Mus musculus: one gene and its partners. Each later gene encodes a partner of the first gene's protein in a complex. Links are inferred from orthologs where the notes say so. Each region holds a gene or a part of one and is shown in the gene's direction. Other genes may lie near its edges. The genes, in order: Sptlc2, Sptssa and Ormdl3.

The links.
Region 2: the proteins of Sptlc2 (region 1) and Sptssa are in contact, whole or in part, in a cryo-EM structure (PDB 7K0K), measured with the Homo sapiens proteins. The link is inferred for Mus musculus from reciprocal best matches to the Homo sapiens genes SPTLC2 and SPTSSA. Residues at the interface, in NP_004854.1 of Homo sapiens: Leu73, Gly77, Val80, Leu81, Phe84, Leu87, Arg88, Leu91, Leu126, Arg129, Ile130, Tyr156, Met475, Pro476, Ala477, Lys478, Gly480, Ala481, Arg484, Glu485, Asp533, Leu534, Leu535, Gln536; in NP_612145.2 of Homo sapiens: Trp15, Tyr18, Gln19, Leu21, Leu22, Val23, Thr24, Ala25, Tyr27, Met28, Leu29, Glu30, Pro31, Trp32, Glu33, Val36, Phe37.
Region 3: the proteins of Sptlc2 (region 1) and Ormdl3 are in contact, whole or in part, in a cryo-EM structure (PDB 7K0O), measured with the Homo sapiens proteins. The link is inferred for Mus musculus from reciprocal best matches to the Homo sapiens genes SPTLC2 and ORMDL3. Residues at the interface, in NP_004854.1 of Homo sapiens: Glu65, Thr66, Pro67, Met68, Ala71, Val72, Tyr75, Tyr86, Gln116, Phe118, Glu119, Asn120, Phe121, Tyr122, Tyr127, Trp134, Asp259, Glu260, Leu261, Asn262, Val267, Arg271, Ile279, Met320, Val495, Val496, Gly497, Phe498, Pro499, Ala500; in NP_001307730.1 of Homo sapiens: Met1, Asn2, Val3, Gly4, Thr5, Ala6, His7, Ser8, Pro12, Val16, Ser19, Arg20, Gly21, Ile22, Leu24, Ser25, Leu28, Phe63, Val67, Lys68, Gly69, Thr70, Pro71, Phe72, Glu73, Pro75, Gln77, Arg81.

The regions. Positions count from the first base shown.
Region 1 is NC_000078.6:87,385,544-87,389,688, reverse strand, and holds the start of Sptlc2 (serine palmitoyltransferase 2), read left to right. Parts: upstream 1-1,333; 5' UTR 1,334-1,517; coding exon 1,518-1,643; intron 1,644-2,010; exon of another isoform or gene 2,011-4,145. UniProt on the Homo sapiens protein: Component of the serine palmitoyltransferase multisubunit enzyme (SPT) that catalyzes the initial and rate-limiting step in sphingolipid biosynthesis by condensing L-serine and activated acyl-CoA (most commonly palmitoyl-CoA) to form long-chain bases.
Region 2 is NC_000078.6:54,653,645-54,658,006, reverse strand, and holds the start of Sptssa (serine palmitoyltransferase small subunit A), read left to right. Parts: upstream 1-1,434; 5' UTR 1,435-1,523; coding exon 1,524-1,635; intron 1,636-4,362. UniProt on the Homo sapiens protein: Component of the serine palmitoyltransferase multisubunit enzyme (SPT) that catalyzes the initial and rate-limiting step in sphingolipid biosynthesis by condensing L-serine and activated acyl-CoA (most commonly palmitoyl-CoA) to form long-chain bases.
Region 3 is NC_000077.6:98,580,662-98,584,251, reverse strand, and holds the end of Ormdl3 (ORM1-like protein 3), read left to right. Parts: intron 1-111; 5' UTR 112-136; coding exon 137-310; intron 311-964; coding exon 965-1,116; intron 1,117-1,404; coding exon 1,405-1,540; 3' UTR 1,541-2,958; downstream 2,959-3,590. UniProt on the Homo sapiens protein: Plays an essential role in the homeostatic regulation of sphingolipid de novo biosynthesis by modulating the activity of the serine palmitoyltransferase (SPT) in response to ceramide levels.

The DNA.
Region 1 (4,145 bases):
TCTGGTGCCCTGGGAAATCAGAATAAGGCTTTGATTCCTCTGGCACTGGAGTTATAGATAGCTGTGAGCCACCATGTGGGTGCTAGAACCAAATCCAGGTACTCTGGACAAGCAGTGTCCAGTACTTCACTGCTGAGCCATCTCTCCAGGCCCCATAGAGTTCTTTTTGATTCTCGTGTTCACTTTTGAGATCAAAGGGTTTGTGACTTGAAAGTTTTGTCCTTGCTCCACTTGCTGTTAAGAGTACCTCTTCTAAATCAAGCAAAACAAATAACCTTGCCAACGCAGTTCTAAAGCTCCAGGGGAGAAGGGGTTGTGTGACACAGGGATTCACACAGATGCATTCGGCAATTAATAATAACCAGCACTTAATGAATACTTACTAATTGCCAGGTCCTAAGCAAAATACATTACAGGCATTAACTCATTAGATTCTCTTATGGCAACTGTTATTATCCCCCTGAGCAGAGGAACATAGAGGTCACTCAGCTAGTAGGTGAGGCAGCCAGGATTCAAACCTAGACTGAGTCATACTCTTAATTATGACATTGATTTTTTTTTTTATGGGTAACTAAAGGTCTTTGTAATGCTGAAATGTAGATCAATTTCTTTTGCTACTGATTTGGATTAGGTATTGTGATAGGTGTCCAGCGCTTTACTAATGTAATTCTGGCAAATGAGTCCATGAAGCAGGAAGAATTTTAAAAGAACTTGGCTCCTAAAGGAGTTAATTCCTCAAGTTTCAGTTTCAGTTATCACAAGATCTGGAAACAGATCAAGTCTCCTGACTTTCAAGGAAAGTCTTCAAAGGAAATTGCCCTAGGAAAACCCGGATAGAAACAAGTGATGTGCGCGCGAGGCGTTCGCGTAGTTCACAATGAAGAACAGTGAGAGACTGTCAAAAAGGCTATTCTATTAACACCCACAGAGGAATTTGCTAATGAAATAAAGGAGCTGCCTGTCTTGGGCTCGGATTCAACCTGAGAACCTCTCGGGAGGAAGGGCACAGAGGGCAACCACCACCAGTGCTAGAGAACCGGGAACAGGCTCTGGAAATAGGCTCAGCCCCTGTTTCTTTCTCCACACTCTAATTGGCTGTTCCTTTCCGGGCTCCGCCTCCTTCTCAACCTGGACCAGTAGGCGGCAAAGCTCCACCTACGACCTGGCTAGGGCTCCAATCAATTGCTCAGTTCTCGAGTTCCTCTGAAGAAGTCCCCTTGATGTCTGCAAGCCGCTTTTCCCTTGCTCTTAATTCGCCAGAATCAGCATGAGATCCGCCCCTCTCGCCTTTGGATTGGTCAATAGCCGATAGACCCCGCCCCATGTTCCCTCCGGCTGCCGGGCTTCGGCGAGCCCCGTCTTCTCGGGTGGCCCCGCCCTCGCGTGACGGCCGGACCGGGAATTGGCAGCGGCGCTGCAGCCATTTCCGGTTTCGGAGAGGTGGGTGCGGTGCGGAGCGGGAGTTGGCTCCGCCGCCACCTCCAGAGCCTGTCCTGCTGCCGGGTGCTGCCGGGAGGATGCGGCCGGAGCCCGGAGGCTGCTGCTGCCGCCGCCCGATGCGGGCGAACGGCTGCGTCAAGAACGGGGAAGTGAGGAACGGGTACTTGAGGAGCAGCACCGCCACCGTCGCGGCTGCCGGCCAGGTACGATGGGATCGAGAGGCTGGGCGAGATCGGGGCGGTGGGCCGGGACCCCCGCGAGCCGATGCCCGGGCTGGGCCGGGCCGGGCCGGGGAGGACGGGCAGCCGCGCGGGCCGGTCAGTGGCCGGCTGGCGGCTGGGCGCGGCTCAGGTGTGCTGAGCGACGGGGAGCCGGCGCTGGCTGGGCCTCCCCCCTGAGCGGGAGGGAGACTCAAGGGCAGCGCGGGACTCTACAACTATGTGGGGCTCCCTCACCGTGAGGGGCTCCTCGGTTCTGCCCGCTTCTCCAGTTATTCGAGCCTTCCCAGTACTACCCGGCTCCGCAGCGATGAGCTGTGGTTCTCTGCCCTGCGGGGGTCCCAAGGTTTACCTGGTTTCTTAGGTGTGCGGTGTCCCCTAGTTCTGCCTGGCTCTCCAGCCTCCCGGGGCTCCTCAGCCACGCGGGACTCCTGAGGTCTGCCCGGCTCCTCAGCATTTGCTGTTCTGAAGGGCCCTGGAGGCTGGGCTTCCTCTGCAAGTCTCTGGTTCTTAACCATGTGGATCACGCAAAAAAAAAAAAAAAAAAGTGCAGGCCGCTCCTAGTGGGAAGCAGAGGAAATCTTTCCCTCGAAGTCCGGCGATACTTTCTCGGGTTCCTGCCCGGGTCCCCTCGAGTACATGCTTCCTGTAGAGTCTTGCAGCCCCAAAAGGAAGCTGACGCTCTGAGAAAGTTAGGCAGTGCAGTTGTGGAAGCACAACCGGACAGCCTCTTCCTATCACGTTCTGGACTTCCTTTATGGGGAAAACCTTGGCAGGGAACCTCCTCGGGGGTCTTGTCTTGAAAATTGTCCCGTTGTGCGATTGGTGAGACCCCCATCCCACCATCCAGATAGGATTTTAGGTGGCCCCTTCACGGCGCAATAGAGCTATCGTGGAGGGCGTTGCTTAATCCAGTGGTAAGTTGTCATGAGTCCTTGTATTAATTAACTGAAGTTGAATCATCAACCATATCCATGAACTTCTAAACTATCTTACAGAATTCTGAATTCCTAGCAGTATTTTGCTTGTTTCCAGACATGGTTTCTCTGAGTAACAGCCCTCTCAGGCTGTTCTGCTTTGTAGACTAAGCCTGACTTCCAACTTAAAAGAGATCTGCCTTTGCCTCCCAAGAGCAACTAAGACCCCAACACCTGGCTTTCCTGACAGTTTTATTTATTTATTTATTTTCTGAGACAGGGTTTCTCTGTGTAGCCCTGGCTGTCCTGGAACTCACTGTGTTGACCAGGCTGGCCTCGAACTCACAGACCTGCCTCTGCCTCCCAAGTGCTAGGATTCAAGGCATGTGCTACTCTACCCCCTGGCTCCTGGCAGTATTTTTTAAACCAATTATGCAAATATCGGGAAGAATGGTTTTAAAAGTTGCTCGTTCCCCTTAGCAGGAGTGTGATTGGTGTAGTTTTGATAGGTCAGTGACCCTATTTCATCTTCAACATAGATACTAAGCAATAGCAACCTGTCCCCTACCTGAATCAGTAACTCTGATAGATGTGTTAATCCTGTGGTATGAAAGGGTTATCTTCAAGTCTTATGACCCTGGGGGAGAGTTGAGGGTTAGGAGTGGGAGTGCACAGAAAAGACTTGGCCTCCCTTGAGTGTGTAAGGTGTTTAAGAGTCAAAAGATTGCTTTCAAAAAGAATTGTGTGAGAGGAGGTGTGTTAGGAGTCAGTTTGCAGTCTGAGTTTGATATGACTTGTTTGTAATCCCAGCCCTCAGGCAGGTATATCTCTGAGCTCAGGCTGGCCTGGTCTGCATAGTGGGTTCTAGGACAGCAGGGCGATGAGGGACCCTGCCTCCAAAAAACGGGGATGTGGGGAGGAGTCAGTCTGTTATGAGCCATGAAAGAATGTGCTGTTTTCCCTAGAAGTGTAAAATGGCTAATGAGCAACGTTGTGGAGGTATAGAATGTATCTGGGAGGTTGAGTAACTGGAGCTAGAAGAGAACTGATGAATGGGTGAGTTAGGACTTTTGTGAGGAAAAAGGAAGTCCAGACAAAGCTGGGCATGTGTTAGAGGTGCTTTCTAACATAAGCCACTAGGAGTTATATTTTGAGTAAATAGTAAGTCAAGTTCTGACCTCCTGGAATCCCAGCAATTATCATTTGTAAGCATGGTATTTCTTCAGAGGTTGGCAACTATTAAGATGAAATACCAAGTTACTAAAATGAAATATAAAAATCTGTGACTAGCTGTGATAGAATATCCTAAGGGCTGTACTACTATCTTTTCGAGAAAACGATTTTTCACAAATTATTTTAAAGCAGGTACTACATTTATAAGGAATAAGATCTCTAAGTTTATGAGAAAAAGAGAATATCTTAAAATAGTTCGTGAAGTTGGTTGTGTTAAATTAAATCTATGTGCTCCAGCTCCTACCTGTCTTTCCTTGCATCCTGAAGGGGGAGTATTGCCTTTTTTTTTTTCTTTTTCTTTTTCTGAAAATACACAGTAAGATGCAAACTAGATACC
Region 2 (4,362 bases), about 33 Mb from region 1:
TACCTGTAATCGTAGCTCGAAGGAGTCTGAGAAAGGTGAATTACTTTGAGATCGAGGCCAGCCTATACTACATAGTGAGGTCCTGTATATTGGTTAAGTTATTTTTGTTTTTGTTTTTCATTTCCACAAAAAACTAGAATCACTTGGGAAGAGGGAACCTTAGCTGAGGAACATGAGATTGGTCTATGGTGGGCGTGTCCTCCCTACTGTGGGCAGTGCCATTGCTAGGCAAGTGGGGTCTGGGCCGTTTAAGAAAGCAAGTTGAGCAAGCCAGAAAGAGCATGCTCCTAAGCAGTATTCCTCTGTGGTTTCTGCTTCAATCTCCTGCCTGGAGTTCCTGGCTTGGCTTCCCTCCGTGATGTTCTGTAACCTACAAGACGAAATAAAATAAAATAAAATGACTAGGCACCTTGTGAAAGCAGATCTCAAGTCTATTGTTGTTTGTAAGGTCTTTGCTCGTAAGGAGCATAAGGAATTTAAGTTAATACCTGTCAACCTGGAAAGGTTTTAAAGCTTAAAGCAGCAGGTTTGAAACTTTTAGACATGTGAGTTGCAGGCTACTTAATTATGTCATTTCACAAGCACACAGTGCATGGGCTTTAGAGGAGTGGAATACAGCCGGTACTGCTGCAGGTCATAGGAGTGAATCTTTAGGAGACAGATCACATGCTGACCTCAAGCTGTCTTTAGAACCCACTAGATCAAGTGCACTTCTCTTGATTGTGACCTACATGGTTGTTTTCTAAGTGTAGTCATAGAAATATTGGCAACTGTCTATGGCCAATTCTTTTGTCTTTAGGTTAGGGAATACTAGTGCGTGTGTGTGTGTGTGTGTTGTGTGTGTGTGTACTCGCGCGCGCATCCTAGATAGGTCTGTTTTCACGCATGTGCTCGGAGGAAGGGAAGAGCTGATGAACATATTACTTCTACAGTTTTCAACATCTTCTTGGCTGGGTGTCATTTGGCATCCACATTCTCTTTGACCCCCGCATTCCCTCTTGCACAAGGCACTGTTTATTTGCATGCCCGACTCTTTAGTAGCATTCTCACCCAGCCCTATCATCTCTTGGCCCAGAAGGGATTCATGAGGTAGGAGAGAGATTACATACACTGGTTTCTAAAGGAATCCTTCTGGGCTGGTCTGAAGGATCCGGCCTCTTAAGGGCACCATCTCGCATGGACACCAGTGGGGACTGAAGCCGGTCTTGCAACCGCCATGCGTGCGCGTGGAGATGCAGAACTAGCACTTAAACCCAGACCGTTTCCCAGGGCTGGGGAGCTCGCTCCGGGCGAGGCGCGGGGCGGGACAGGAGCACACGAAGTGGCCGCTTGGCCAATAAGCGCAAGCCAGGAGGAGCCGGCGGTGGCCGCTCGGGTGCGCGCGGGGTTGGGCGTACACGGTGACGCGCAGGCTCGGCAGGACCAATGGGCGCAGGGTGGTGGCGGGCGGGCCCCAAGGCCTGGGGCTTTAGGAGGTGAGCGGGCCGCGGGCCCGCCTGACGCTGCTACACCGCGGGAGGCGCATGGCGGGCATGGCGCTGGCGCGAGCATGGAAGCAGATGTCCTGGTTCTACTACCAGTACCTGCTGGTCACTGCGCTCTACATGCTGGAGCCCTGGGAGCGAACCGTGTTCAGTATCCTGTGTGTCCTGGCCTGGCTGGGGCGTGGAGGGGTGCGCGCGCCGGGTTGGAAGGGGGTGGGGGGGTGTCTTGGGGTCAAGGGAGGTGGAACCGCGGAGATCCGGGTCTTGTACGCAATTCCCCTGCCCAAGGTGGAGGCATCCTGATTTCTGCAAGCAGTCGGGAGGGCGACGTCTCCCCTGGTGCTTCCTTGTCCCGCTTCGGCCGCGCCTGCTTTTGATCCTTCAGTATTCTTTGAGGCAGGGTTGCTGCAAATCGCTCCGGGCTTGGGCGTCTTTAACCCTTAGCTATTCCTGATTTGGAGCGATAGAACTCTAACCAGTTCACCAGGTTGTGAGTACGTGGTCTTGACACTCCCACACAGTTTTGGAAAGCAGTTTGTAAGTTACTGAAAGGCCTTTTGGGCTTCAAAATGGCAGTTTTAAAAGTGTGTTATATTTATGACTTCTTTGCATCATAGGTACAAGCTGTGCCCAGAAAAGACTTTGCTGGGGTTTCAAACTGTGCTTTGTTGTTTAGTTTATCACCGGTTAAGAATTGTTGAGTGATGACTTTGCTGAGCACTTTGTGTGTATGTTATCTTGCCTAATTTTAACAGCTCCAGCGAATAGCTCAAGGTTGTGAAGCCTGATGTTTGTTTTCGCCCAATGTCTATGCCGCTATCCTCTGATTTCCGTGTCGACGAAATACTAGCAATTCATTCTTTTAACGCTCCACTTCTCCTTTCCTTAATATAAAAAGAATATACCACATCACATGCTTATTTCATCCGCTCAGCTTCTTGTGGTTTAGCTTTGTTAGGAACAACTTCACAAACGCGTTCCTAGGACTGAGGTAGAGCTTCTTTGCAAGCTTTTTCAAGGGTGCTGGTGTGGAAATAGCATGAGGTTATTTGGAGCTGACTCTTGAAAAATTTTAGCGTCTTGCAAGACTATTACTGTGAGCAATTATTTCCTAACCTAAAGTTTAATAACCAGAATGTATATTTGGGGCTCCGGATTAAGAAAGCCTGATTTTCCGAATCGTTTATTTGTAGCTTCAGTTTGCTCTTTGGATTTTGTAGGTCAGATAACATCTATATTTAAATTTATGCCTAATTGGAACTTTTCAATAGTAGCAGGTAATCTTTTGATTAATTCATTAATTAATTCAAAACACGGTTTCTCTGTGTACCCCTGGATGTCCTGGAACTCATTCTGTAGACCAGGCTGGGTAGCAGTTAATCTTGACTGATAATTATCTTACTACAATTAATGTTGACAAAGCCCCATTAAATAATAATAATGAAAGCCAGCTGTGATGGTTCATGACTGATTACCATGCTCAGAGAGCTGATTCAAGAGGAATGCTGGGAGTTCAAGGCTGCCTGAGGTACATAATACATAGCTACTACCAGGCAAGCCAGGGTTACATAGCAAAACTCAAAGGAAAAGGAAGCCAGGCAGGCAGGCAAAGAAACAGTGTTGGGGTGAAGTGAAACTCTTTAGGTTAGGGTAACAGTAGAACTCAGTTTAGACCTGTAAGCTTTGAAACATTTGTTGGCATGTGGATAAATGCTACAGTGGCAACAGTGTTAAGATTTCTCTGGCTATATTGTAATAGAAATACTGACCCGGGGCCAGATGGCAGTGGCTCACATCTCTAAACCCAGCACTCTGGCAGCAGAAGCACACCGATCTCTGAGTTTGAGGACAGCTTGGTCTACAGAAAGAGTTCCAGGACAACCAAGGCTACACAGAGAAACCCTGTTTCCAAGGGGGGGGGGGGAATTTTTGTTTGAAAAAGTGCCTTTTTCTGTTCTTCTGTTCAAATAGTTGTGGGCATGGCTAGGTGTGGTGGTGCATGCTTGCCTGTAATTCTAGTACTTGGGGAGGTAGCTTCAGGAGCATCAGCAGTTAAAGGCTAGCTTCAGCTACATGTAGGTTTGAGGGCAGCGTTGGCTTCATGAAACCCTGTTCCTCAGAAAACACAGAACCAAACCAAGCCACCCCCACCAAAGGTGCTGATAGAATTACTGTTTCCTTTTGGAGACAGGGCTTGGTGCTGTGCCAGATGTCTGTTATCTGAATGAAAACATTACCCAGGTTAGTTATTATGCCGTTGTTTGCTGTGTTAGAGGTTCTTTGTGTCCCCGGGAAATGTACAGTTATGAGATTGAGGAAGAGGAGAGAGAGTGAGGCGGGGAATGGCAAGACCTAGTAGCCCAGGGAAAGATCTCTGATGGTCTTAATAACTCTCTTAGCTTCCTGGGAGATTGTCTCCTCAGCTCCCAGTTCCTAAGCTTTGGTTTGTTTTGCACTACCTTTGAATTGAGAATGTTAGAATACAGGGCTGGTAAGATGGCTCAGGGGTTAAGAGCACTGACTGCTCTCTCCCAGGGGTCCTGAGTTCAATTCCCAGCAACCACATGGTGGCTCACAACCAACTGTAATGGGATCTGGTGCCCTCTTCTGGTGTGTCTGAAGACAACTACAGTGCACTCAGATGTATAAAATAAATAACTAGAAACAAAGAAAGAGAGAGAATGTTAGACTACCTACTAGCTGTACTCCTGTGTAAGATAAGGAAGACAATGCCTAAGGTCTGGTCTGTGTCCCACAGTGCTTCAGCTTGTGATACCATTTGTTAGTAGCAGTGACTGAGGAGGGCCTTGTTAAGCCTTGAGTGCTGTGATATTTATGGCTTGTCTGAGAGAAACCAAGATTCTTCTTCTTCTTCTTT
Region 3 (3,590 bases), on another chromosome or scaffold:
GGACAGTGGTGTGGAGTTCTCAGGGAGTGAAAAGCCTGCCTCTCTGGGGCTTGGGGTGTGAGGGGCAGGGAAAGTGGTGTGACTTGTCTCACCTGTGTTGCTCTTTTGCAGAGCGGCAGTCAAGAGGGGTGGCAGGATGAATGTGGGCACAGCACACAGTGAGGTGAACCCCAACACACGGGTGATGAACAGTCGCGGCATCTGGCTCTCCTACGTGCTGGCCATCGGACTCCTGCATGTCGTGCTGCTGAGCATTCCCTTTGTGAGCGTCCCTGTCGTCTGGACCCTCACCAACCTTATCCACAACCTGGTAAGATCCTGCTTACCACCAGCCACCCCCCCACCCCCCCCCCACCCCCCGTGCGGGCTGTTCTAGGCCAGAGCTGAGAGATAGGAGGAGCTTCTAATGGGACAGACAGCAGGTCCTGACAACATCTGTCACCAGAGCCCAGGCCCAACTCTTACCTGGCTCCCCCTTGTGGGCTTTAGAATCAAATTTGCACATCGTCCATGTCTCCCTAGTTGGGTGGCTGGTGTGTTTGAAGGACAGCAAACTGGGAGCTGAGCCCATGCTGAGGCTGCCCCCAGGTCCCAGGAATCTGTGCAGAGACATTCTTTTCCCATATTAGGATCTCATAATCCTCTGTGCTCCCTAAAACCTGCTGCTTTGTACCCCACTTTTGAGCAGGCTGGGGTCTAGTCCTTCCTCCTTGGTTTGCTCCTTTTAGCTAACATGTAGAGACCCCAGTTGGGCTGGAAAGGCTGCCTTGCTGTGTCCGTTCCTTCCTTATTTCCCCCCTTGTTCTCCCACCAAGCTCTGGTGCGCTCTCCTGTGTTAAGGCTGCCTTCCTGAGTTACTGCAGCAGAGCAGGTGGCAGTCCACCCAGAGCTGCTGCTGTCTGATAAGTGGGGGAGCCAGGCTGGGAGCCATCTCGTATGTTCTGACAAAGGCCCCTCTTTTCAGGGCATGTACATCTTTCTGCACACCGTGAAAGGGACGCCCTTCGAGACTCCAGACCAAGGCAAAGCAAGGTTGCTGACCCACTGGGAGCAGATGGACTACGGGGTCCAGTTCACAGCCTCTAGGAAGTTCTTAACCATCACGCCTATAGTGCTGTGAGTACTCTGGCTATGGGAGAATAAGCAGAGGTAAACGGGTGGGCTCAGCTGGCCCTAAACCCTCCCAGCTTTGGCCCTTGCTGTATGGATGAGCAGAGGGAGGGAAGAGACATATTCTTGGGTCTCACACGGGGCCTTTGGCCTCCCTGGCCCTGTCTTTCCTCACTGGAGTAAGCTGGGGGGGAAGGTAGGTCAGGAGGGCCTTGCTAGCTAGAGAGTTGTCACTCCACTTCTTATCTGGGAACCCATATTTCCTCCTTCCCTCCCTCCCTCCCTCCCCTCCAGGTACTTCCTCACCAGCTTCTACACCAAGTATGACCAAGTCCATTTCATACTCAACACTGTGTCCTTGATGACTGTGCTCATTCCCAAGCTCCCCCAGCTCCACGGAGTCCGGATCTTTGGAATCAATAAGTACTGAGGTTGTAGCCCCTTCCCCAGCCGGGTTGGCAGGGGAAGGGTGGAAGGCCTTTGCTGTGATGCTGAAGACAGGAGCCTCTGGACACTGCCAGAGATGGGGGTGTGCCCTGGGCCTGGCTTCCCCCTCGCTTCCCCAGTAGCCGACTTGGAGTAGCTTGTAGTGGGGTTAGGGTGGGGCCCTTGGGCTCTAACCCATTCTGAAGTTTTTGATCTTTTTCCTTTTGCCTTTTGAATAGAGATGCCATGGGGGTGGTCAGGAAAGAGGCTGGGCTCTCTGGCTGACTGTGGGCCTGAGAAATTGGGACAGGAAGCCAGGAAAAGGCCCTGTTGGCTTGTTTACCCTCAGGCAGCCATAGCACTTTAGCCCCCAAAAAGGGGGGCAGAGGGACGGTACAGCTTCTGCATTGGTTGCCCTCATTCCTTCAGTGTGTGAAGCGAGACTCGCTGTTCTGTATGTATTAGAACCCTGCGCCGTGCTGCCTCTGCCGCCAGGCAGGGAGCAGGCGGGCTTTGTGGGCTTCCTGGCAACCCACGATGGGTAGGCTGTGGGGCAGGGGAGATTAGGAAAGGAAGATGGGTTGATGGGACACCTAGAGGTGGGGACAGGATGCTGCCACCTTGGTCCTGGGGAGAGGGGAGTTCTGAGCAAGGGTTGGGTGGGGATAGTAAGTTGGGTCTTACTTAGAATGGACAAGATAACTGCAGCCGATATGGATCAGTGTAAAAAAAAAAGAGGTCTGGGAAGGAGAAGCCAGACTCCGCCTCCTCTGAGATGTGGGCTAGGAGGAGAGCTGGCGTGGAGGGTTAATTTACCCACAGAACGATGCTGATAGGAAGGGAGGCCCCTGTGGGTTTGAACTCCTGGGTTGGAATGAGGATATGCACAGGCTGGAAGGGCCTGTGAGTCCTCAGAAGCGGGTTCACTTCGACACTTCCCTTAGTGGTGTGTGTGGGCGCGCGCGGAAGCTTTCTGAGAGGCTCTTCCTTAAGCGTTCAATTCGTATTCTTGTGTAGATTGTGCTGGGGCAGTGCCTCTTGTGTGGCTTGCATGTGAATGGTCAGGAGGCCACCTCCACATGTGGTCAGTGGCCTCCACAGTGCTACAGGATCTCTGCCCAAACCAGGCAGTAGTAGGGGCAGCTGCAGGCACTGTCCTCAGCCCAAAGAGAGGCAGGTCATGGAGCCTGAGGCTAGGCCGAGAGGAGCTGTCTCTCCACTCGCTGGGTCGACTGGGGCATGTTCCTTTGGAAACGCGTGGCTACCCAAGCCCTCTCCCAGGGAGGGGCTGGAGGGAGGTCACTCACCTGTTTGTCCCCCTCCCCCTCATTCTGAACCCAGTGTATCATAGGGAACTTTCACCTTCTGGTCTTTCTAAGCAAAGTGTGAATAGGATTTTTACTCCCTTTGTACAGTATTCTGAAAAAATGCAAATAAAGAGCAACATGTTCTGTTTACCATGTCTGGCCTCTGCTTCCTGGCGGGTGGGCCCTGGGAGGAAAGCTGGCGGCAGTGGGAGCAACGGCAGCTCCTGCCTAGGCAGTAGTGGGGACTCTGGGGCGGCTGCCTTTTTCCAGGTCCAGGAGCCAAAGGCGATGTGAGGAAGATGGTGAGGACCCTGGTAAGTCAGAGTGGAGTCCTGCTGTCCTCGGTTGGCTCTGAGCATCCGGCTTTATAGGTCTGGCTGGGGGAATCTGGAATGGGGCGTGGTGGCCGGGAAGGCCAGTCTAGACCTTTACAAGTGGAGTGGGGTGGGGGTTACCTCTGGTTCTCCGGTTTCCTACTGGCACTGTGAATCTATCCTCTTTTCTCTCTCACCTTGGTCATTTCCAGCCAGTTCCTGTTTTGGAGAGGGTTGGCCTTTGTGCTTCCTCCTGCTTTGAGGATTAGGAGGAGAGGAGGGTTCATTGTGGCTTTTGCTAGCACAGCGAGGAGAGGGAGGACACTCCCTTTATCTCCCGAGGACACTGGCCTCTCGGGCTGTCCTGTGTACTATCTGCTGCTCCCTGGCCAGTACAAAGTTCCAGGCAAGCGGAGGACTCCCTTCCCAGCAG